2 linked regions of the Coturnix japonica genome follow. The protein of the gene in region 2 binds, or shares a complex with, the protein of the main gene of each other region. Links are inferred from orthologs where the notes say so. Each region holds a gene or a part of one and is shown on either strand. Other genes may lie near its edges.

Evidence for each region.
Region 1: AKAP13 (region 2) and MAP2K3 share a complex: the UniProt entries of both Homo sapiens proteins name them as parts of the signaling complex. The link is inferred for Coturnix japonica from reciprocal best matches to the Homo sapiens genes AKAP13 and MAP2K3.

Annotation. Positions count from the first base shown.
Region 1 is NC_029529.1:4,552,563-4,557,163, forward strand, and holds the start of MAP2K3 (dual specificity mitogen-activated protein kinase kinase 3), read right to left. Parts: upstream 3,035-4,601; 5' UTR 2,943-3,034; coding exon 2,927-2,942; intron 2,330-2,926; exon of another isoform or gene 2,222-2,329; coding exon of another isoform or gene 2,209-2,221; intron 1-2,208. UniProt on the Homo sapiens protein: Dual specificity kinase. Is activated by cytokines and environmental stress in vivo. Catalyzes the concomitant phosphorylation of a threonine and a tyrosine residue in the MAP kinase p38.
Region 2 is NC_029525.1:12,534,371-12,538,175, forward strand, and holds part of AKAP13 (A-kinase anchor protein 13), read right to left. Parts: intron 3,328-3,805; coding exon 3,202-3,327; intron 3,094-3,201; coding exon 2,976-3,093; intron 2,360-2,975; coding exon 2,111-2,359; intron 756-2,110; coding exon 679-755; intron 1-678. UniProt on the Homo sapiens protein: Scaffold protein that plays an important role in assembling signaling complexes downstream of several types of G protein-coupled receptors.

The sequences.
Region 1 (4,601 bases), on a different chromosome or scaffold from region 2:
GCACAAGAAGCGATAATGACAAGCTTTCCATTTCCTAATAATGTCAGCCACTCTGAGGCAGAGAGCATCCTGCACCCATGGTCAGAGACATGCAGCACATCCATCACACAGCTGCACGGGATGTGCAGTGCCAAACCACAGCCCAGGTCAGAAGCCTCTGACAGCAGCCAGCCTTCAGTGAGAGCTCTGCTTCCTCCTTCCCTAAAGGAGATTTCTTTTGGTGGTGGTGTGAGGAGCAGGAAGGGTGGTTGCTCCGCAAACAGTTTCTGGTAGGTTTGTGTCTCCTCCTCATCCTGCTTACTCTTCCTTTTGAGTTATGTTTTTAAAGCAAAGCTGTCCTCTGAATATCTGAATGTGATATACATTTATATACAAGCACTTCACCTGAGATGCTGAAGCCAAGCAGGAAGCAATGGACAGAGCTGGAGCAATCTTGCTGCAACCCATGGGGGACAGATATCTGCCAGCTCCTCCTCTCCCCCCAGTAGCTCACAAGATGATGGTGACAGCCAGCTGCTGCCAGCTGCTTTCCTATGAGGAGTCATGAAGCCACAGAGCAGAGGGACCAGGGATGTGGAGACATCATCACATGCACCCAATGTCATGCTTTCCCACTTCAGAGAAACCTCAACCCCTTAAACTAACCCTGTTGGACGGTCTGGCCCCACTCATCTCAAAGCTGTGGGGCTGCTGCAGCAGCTCTTAGAAGCAGCACTCTGACCTCCAGCTGCCTGCAGCCAGCACAGTGCTCACCACTGTGCCCTTACATCACAGCATTCCCCTTAATCTGCAGCACATGAGGGCAATTCCTATAATGCCCAAAGCAACATCCATCCATCCATCCCCTCCTGCAATAGGGATGCAACAAAGACACCGCAGCTCACCCTAAAGACAGAAATGCAGCCTTGATGTCACACCTGAGCTGTGAGAGGGCTCTGCCTGCAGCCCCTGGTCCACAAACCCCCATTCCTGCTGAGGACAGGGCAACAGAGCCCAGGACCCACTGCCAAAAGGGGACAGCAAGGTGCTGGGGTGGTACCTACAGCTGTGCCCAACTGCTGGCATGTTCTTTAGGGAGGAAGGAGAGGTTGGAGGGGGAGCAGTGTAAAGGACCTGAAGCTGTGCCCCTTCCCTGGACACTCCTTGGGATTGCAAATAAAAAGAATAGGAAGAAGAATGGGAACTTTCAGTTTCCACCATAAATTTCAGAAAAAGCCCTTTCTGCCACTCCAGAGCCTCTGGCTCAGCCTCCAATTGCACCAAGCCCCACACATACCCACAAGCAGCCCTGAGTCACACACCAGTAAAACCCCAAACTTTTGGTTGGTGAATTAAAACCTCCCCCAAACAACAGATCTCACCCCATTGCTCCTCCAGCAAACAGCCTGCCCATATCAGCACAGTGACAGCAAAACAATGGGGTCAAAACCCCACAGTGCCCCCCAGCCACAAAATCAGTCCAGAAAGCAGAGAACCCACCCGACCCCACAGCACAGAGGGTCGCACAGCTCCTAAAACACCTGAGGCTGTGCTGCTGTATGGGACAGACAGGAGAGCTTGGGCACATTGGAGCAAACCCCAGCGCTGCTGCTCGGCACTCCACGTTATCTCGCATCCCATCCCCACACATCTCACCCCGCGAGGGATCAGATCCGGGCAGTGGGAAGAGGAAGAAAGCCGAGATGCTGGCACTAAGCCCTGCGTAATCCCCACAAGGTGTTTATCTCAGCAGCTATGTTTAGCGCCAGGATCGCTCCCGCCCGGCTCCATTCCTATCACGCGTGTCACGGGCGGCCACGCGCAGCCCCAAACACTCCGGAGGCAGCAGACGGGCCCCGTGACTACACCCGAATGACGGCAGCGAGCTTTGGGGCGGAAGGATCCATGAGAGCCCCAACTCGTTCTCCTTTGAACCACGGAACGCAAAGCGGCACCACCCCAACAGCACCAAACCCCCCTGGAAGGCAGCGGGTCCCGCTCCGCGCTGCACATACCCACATCCATCCCACCAGCACCACTAGGAAGCAGCCAACAAACCATGTGCAGGGCAACGAATAGCAGAGAGAGAAGCAAAACGCAGCGATAATCCCACAGCTCTAGGAAACAAACGGCCCAGCCGCGGTGCGGAGCGCATCCCGCATCGCATCCCGTACTGCATCCCGCATCGCATCCCGTACTGCATCCCGCATCGCATCCCGCATCGCTCACCTCTGCCGTCCATCCCTCCATCCACGCGCGTTCCCGACGAGGTGCGGGGCCGGGCGCGCTCCCGAGCGCCTTTTGAGCGGCCCCAACCCGCAGCCGTGAGTCAGCAGCTCCGCTCGCAGCGCCGTAAATCGCTGCTGATTCACAACCCCCCCCCCTCCTCCTCCTCCCGCTTACACAGCAAACAGGAAACTCAGGTCCACATTCCCTCCGTTTAAGACACGGAGAGTTTTATGGGGGGGGGCGGGGAGAAGGGGAAGGGGGGAAAAAAGCAGCGGTCACGCCGAGGTGCTTCATTGCTCACATGGAGCCTGACCGAGACTTTCCAGAGCATCGCTCCGCAGCGAGGAAACCCCCCGCATTGCATTGAATTGCATTGTATTGCATTGCATTGCATTGCGGTGATAAGCGGGCACGCCCCGCGTGTCCCCCACCCACCACCACAATACGACCCCTCCTCTCTCAATCCCCCCCACCCCACTCAGGGCTCATCTAAACGACGTGTCACAGACACAGCGCCGAGCTCCCACCGCCACGTTGAGCGGGGAGGGATCCAAACCCACCCGTGTCCTCCCCGACGGCCCCACGCACAACACGGGGATGCCCCACGCTCAGGACACAGCGTGGGCTGCAGGCACAGAGCACGGCAGCCCCCAAAGAACCACGCAGAGCCCCAACCCGCATCCCCCGCACACCGAACCGAACCGAACCCCGCTCGTACCTCTGGGCACAGACATGACGGCCGACGGCCCCGCAGCGCTGGGGCACAAGGCGATACCCGGCACTGTCCCAACCTGCGCGACGGCGGCGGGGGATGAACAGCGAAGGGGCGGGGCTTAAAGGGTTTGGACACGCCCCCTCGCGGGGGAAGCGCCATCGTGATTGGGTAGAACGGTGGAGTGGGTGGAGCTTCCGCCCTGCCCGCCTCCGCCAGGGGAATTTTATGGTTGTCGGGTGAGGTGGAGAGAATGAAGTGAGTAGGGCGGGCAAAATGGAGCTGCCCTGCGGGGGGATGAGCCCAGCGGGGCCAGCAGAGCCCCCATAACACGGGACGCTTTTGTATCTTTCCCTTTAGGGAACGCACTGATTGGAGCTTTACCTATATGAGCACATCACCACAATGCCAAGGGAACTTGGACCGCCTTGTGTCCCAGTTACCTCCGTGTAAGTGCAGGAAATGGGAGCCTGCTGGGAACAGCCTGGGCAGGTGCAAGCAGCACCCTCTGCCTTGAAGGAGAAGCCGCAGCTCGTAACACCCTCCATCCATTCGTTTGCAGGATGTTAAACAACAGCCGTGTGCTGCTTTGCACGCTCCAGCATCAGCTGTGGGGCAGCCAGGACCCTGCACAGCCCCTTTGGAAAATCCCCCACCTATCTGCCCCTGCGTGCATCAGCATCACCTGCCCGGGCACGTGCTGGGCAGGGCTGATGCAAGGGGGGACCCGCAGCAGCCACGTCACCCTGCACAGGGATAAGTGATGCCATCGCATTCCCATGGGATCCCATTGCTGGGGTCTCCCGTGAACCAGCCCTGACCTATCCTGCAATCTGCTCTATGGGGAGCAATCTTTGCAGGCAGAAATTTCCCAGCGTGATCCAAACCGCTACGAAGGAGGGGTGGGAGCAAACGCAGCCCTCGTGCAGTCTCGTGCAGTTCCGATCCGGGCTGTGCAGAGCTTCGTTTGATCGGTTTGAGAGCTGGAAAATGTGTCTGAAATAAGGACAGGAAACATGGGTCCGGGGTTGCACCTGTGTCCGGGCTGGACCCAGTGACAGCGCTAACATCCAGCAGCTGTAAATTGAAGCTAGAAAGGCTCAAATGGGAAATAAATCACTGATGTTAATAGTGCGAGTAATTACTTTAATGAGAGACGTAGCAGATTCACCGCCTTTCAGCTCAGCCTGGGAGCATTCCCAAAGCCCACGTTCGGGGCTGCGGGCTGTGACACACTGCTCGTATCACAGAGCTGGGAACGGGGTGGGCCCGGCTTTGTGCCAGCAGGGCAGCAATCCTGGAGTTTGGGCTCAACGAGCGGGTTTAGGGCGAGTAATGGCACACGCTGCAATGGGCAGCACTACCGGGATACAGCAGTACCGGGATACAGCACTACCGGGACGCAGCACTACCGGGACCCAGCGCTGTCCGTGACCGCACCGCCCACGCGGGGGCGCCGGGGCTCGTCGTGGAGCAGAATGTGTTACGGCTCCTTTAAGAGCCGGGCAAATGTATCAAAACAAAACGGCAGCGCTGCCATAGGCTGCGGGGCGGGCACGTGGCGCACAGCTGGCTTCCTGCGGCCAAGCACCGGTGGCAGCTCCCGGTGCCGCCGCTACGGCCCGACCCGACCCGACCCGACCCGACCCGACCCGGCTCGTTCCCGGTCCCCGCAGCTCCC
Region 2 (3,805 bases):
GTGCTATGGTCTCTGTGTAGTCAGCCTGCCCGATTTAAAATATCCCATTGGGTTACAAAATCCCATTGCTCCCATTCCAAGGGCCAAAAGGACACAAGGCTTAGACAGTCTAAACTGTGTCTGCAAGGTACAGTCCTAACAGACCTAGTTAGGTATCAGACTACCGTTGTGTAGTGTGTCTCGACCTTTAGGAGACTGCATTCAGAAGTGATTGGTTTTGGTTTGGTGCATTACAACCACATTCTTCTGACATTTATCTGTACGCTGCTCTGCTGCATTTACTGCAGTGGTGTTCCCTGCCTCCTCTATAGCACTTCATAATATATGAGAACACCATCATCTGCTAAGATTTGTTTTCACAACGTTTGCATTATCCCATTACTCTCCATCCCCCCAGCTCATGGCTTCAGTTTGCACAAACTGAAAAGGAGAAGGCGTGTGGAGTGGCAGGAGGGTTTTCAAGGCCAATTATCAGCAGTGCCAAGGCACTGCAGGAATCACCAGGGGGAGGTGTGAAACAATGACGCGTTTTCCAATTGACAAAACAGCTCCCCCAACAAACAGAAATGTTCTAAGCAGGAAAATGAAGTTGTTTAGCAGGCAGAGGCTGGTTTTACTGCATAACAAACACCAAGGGACCCTCACACAGAAAAGCAAAGGAGAAGGATGAAAACTTACCAGTGAAGCAAAGACATATTTCTGGTCCTTCTCCTGAAGGAATATGAGCATGTCAGAGAGGAGAACAGCCTGGACTTCTGCAAAAAGAGAAAAATTATATAGGTGCTGTATAACCACCCACACAACACACTCCTAAGCAGATTTATCTTTTAATAACACTGGCCACTGGGGAGCACAAGGGCTGGTCTGGGATCAGCCTGCAGTGCTGTGCAACACCTGGTTAGATGCTGGAAGGGCCATGCAATGCAGAGCTGCCTTGGGAACCCCCCCCTGGGTGGGAGGGCTGCTCTCCAGCCATGAACTGCCCACAGGTAGGACATGGAATAGCAGCAAGAACTGGAGACACAGAACAGAATTGTTTTCTGAAGCAATCAATATTTCAGCCCATGAGCAAAGCATCAGCACAGGAAGTTGGGGGTTTTATGTCTTTTTCAAAGAGTAGTTTGGGGGAGTGTAAATTATTGTGCAACAGCAACATTTGTCAGCTGCAGTTTCTTTACAGGAAACAGTGACTTCAGAAGCCACCACCAGCTCTGCTCACAGACAAACAAAACCCCTGCTAACTCCAAGGGGAGCTAACAGAGCCCAGCTTGAGATGCAGGACCTTTATTTCATGGTGGAAGGAAGCACAGCACCAAGCGATTGAGAAGATCTTAAATCAGAATACAAACGTTTCCCAAAGTACATGCACAGCCTTCCAAGTCTCCTAATGACAGAGCATAAAGCTGCACACTAAGTACCAAGTATAATACCCCACCCATATCCCTCAGTACAAAGCGTTTTTGTGTTATGTACTTGGGAAATCTTGTGACACACAGGAAGCAAACCAAAAAGTGAAATCATCCCATGGTAATTCCTTCCATTCTGCTTTAGGAAGACAGGATCTGCTTTGGATAAAAGAACCACCAAATCTTAATCAAAGCTGCAAAGTGAACTCAAAACCCTTGGAGGTTTGCATGAGTCAGCATTTGACCCCATTCTTCTCCATCACTATATTTTCCATGCACTCTGCAAGAGGGGAAATGCTGACAAGGTGCAAGAAAAAGTTCTTCCCAAATTTCTATCTTTTCCACCTAAAGTACCACAGAATTGCCAAAGGATCAGAACCAGCTGCACCCCTACTGGGATCGACAGGTCCTGCTTTTGCTGGGAACATGCACTACAGAACAGGCATTTCTGTGACTTAGAAATACAAATGCAGCCTGTGCTTATCACAGTATTTCACAACAGCAGCATAACTTGCTTCATCCACCTTATGAAGTCATTAGTAATCCTGGAAGCTCAGAAAACAAACATAAACTTCCTGTTTCCAAAACGTCAAAATAAATCATATCCGATTTGAAATTGCTGTCAAAGGCTCTCAGAGCAGCAAAATAAGTTCTGGGGATTCCAATCTGAGGAGCAACCCTATGCCCAGAGAGGGAATTGTTACCTTTTAACCGCCCAGCTGCATTTTTCAGTGAAACAGGCCCATCTCGGATGAGCTTCCGATGCCTCAAGTCCTCTCTTGCAAACATCTGACCACTCTTCATCCTCATGATGGACTTGCTGTCCGTCCGGTTGTAAATCTCATCAAGGCGCATTTTCTTCTCATAGTTACTGACTTTGCTATTGACCGCGGCAATCACATCTTTAACAAGGTTTAATGACTGAGTCAAGTCTTCATGTTCCACTTCATTTTCTTTGAACAGAAAGAGAAAGATTTCTATTTCACTTTATCCTTGTGGACATCCCTGTTTTCCCTTTACTTCCTTCCTCTTCTCCCTCTCAGACTCCTGCATTATAACTTTTTAACATTCTCCCAACAGGATGCATCTTTCCTTCCTAAGCAGAGCTTCACAAACCCTTTCACATACAGGGTTGAGGCTGGGAGATGTTCCAATATACCTCAAGACAGTAGATGAGAAATGAGCAAAGTAACCACATCTTTTAGCTGTTATGAAAAAAAAGGTAAGCTGGAAGACTCTGGAGCCTGAGCATGCTGGCTCTATAATTATCACAGAATCACAGAATTACCCGGGTTGGAAGGGACCTCAAGGATCATGTAGTTCCAACCCCCCTGCCTAGCAGGGCCACCAAACATACACAATTAGCTAGAGATAGATTACATCAATGAAACCAAGGCACCTGATCAACTAACACTGAACAGAGAGATGAAACATGGTTATCCCATTATAACAGTGTGAGACAACGACTGGCTTAGTGTGCCAACTCTAAGAAAATTTAAGGAAAAAAAAAGGTCCTGGTAATGCACACTTGATGAGCAAATACACGCTTACAAAAGAACTGGCCCCTACCTGCAGTGTACTGCAGTATCCTCTGTAACAGGACCGGGTACTTTGTGATTCTCTGCGTTACCAACAAGATACATTCAGAAATCCCAAGGCGTCTCACCAACGAGGAGCTCATTTTTTTCTAAGAAACAAAGCCAAAAATTTCAGTTCTGTAGCAAAGCACCCAATGGAGCACAGAAAGGAATCAGTTTTTCTCCCTATGGGCTGTTTCTCTTTCACCAGGTCCTACCTTGACAAAAGCCTGGAAACGTTTGTCCTTTGAGTACAGATCTTTGAAGTAATTTACTGCCTCATTGTGATGCCCACAGAATTTGCCATATGTCTTCTTCATTCTCTCAGCGTTCTCTCCGGAGAACTGCAAGACAAGAGATGTAAAGATCCAACTTCCACTGAGCTCTTGGTGCAACTTCCAGCAGCGCCTGTCAGTCTCTCAAATGAATTTTATGAAAACAAATCAGCACAAAGCTCAATAAGCCAAGAAATTAAATCTCTAGAAAGTAACAAGCGGAGTCTGTGGCTCTGCTGCATTCACACTTAACACTAAATCTGGGACGGCACCTCAGTGGAGTTTAAAAGCCAAAGAGGGAGAGTTAGAGAAAGGAGAATGGGAGAAAACATAAAGGAAAGCACAAGAGCCCGCCCTAAGTTAAATATCTTCTCTCTCTGTACATCAGCCAAGAAACGCACTGCACACATTGCATTGCAGGCTACTGCCTTCCCTCCTGGCTATGGGTCAAACCATGTGGCGTCTGCTACCAAATGCTTCTCTCTCCCACAGTATAAACAAATTGAATTTCCATCATTACATCTTCCTCCAAAAGAGCAAAAGGTGC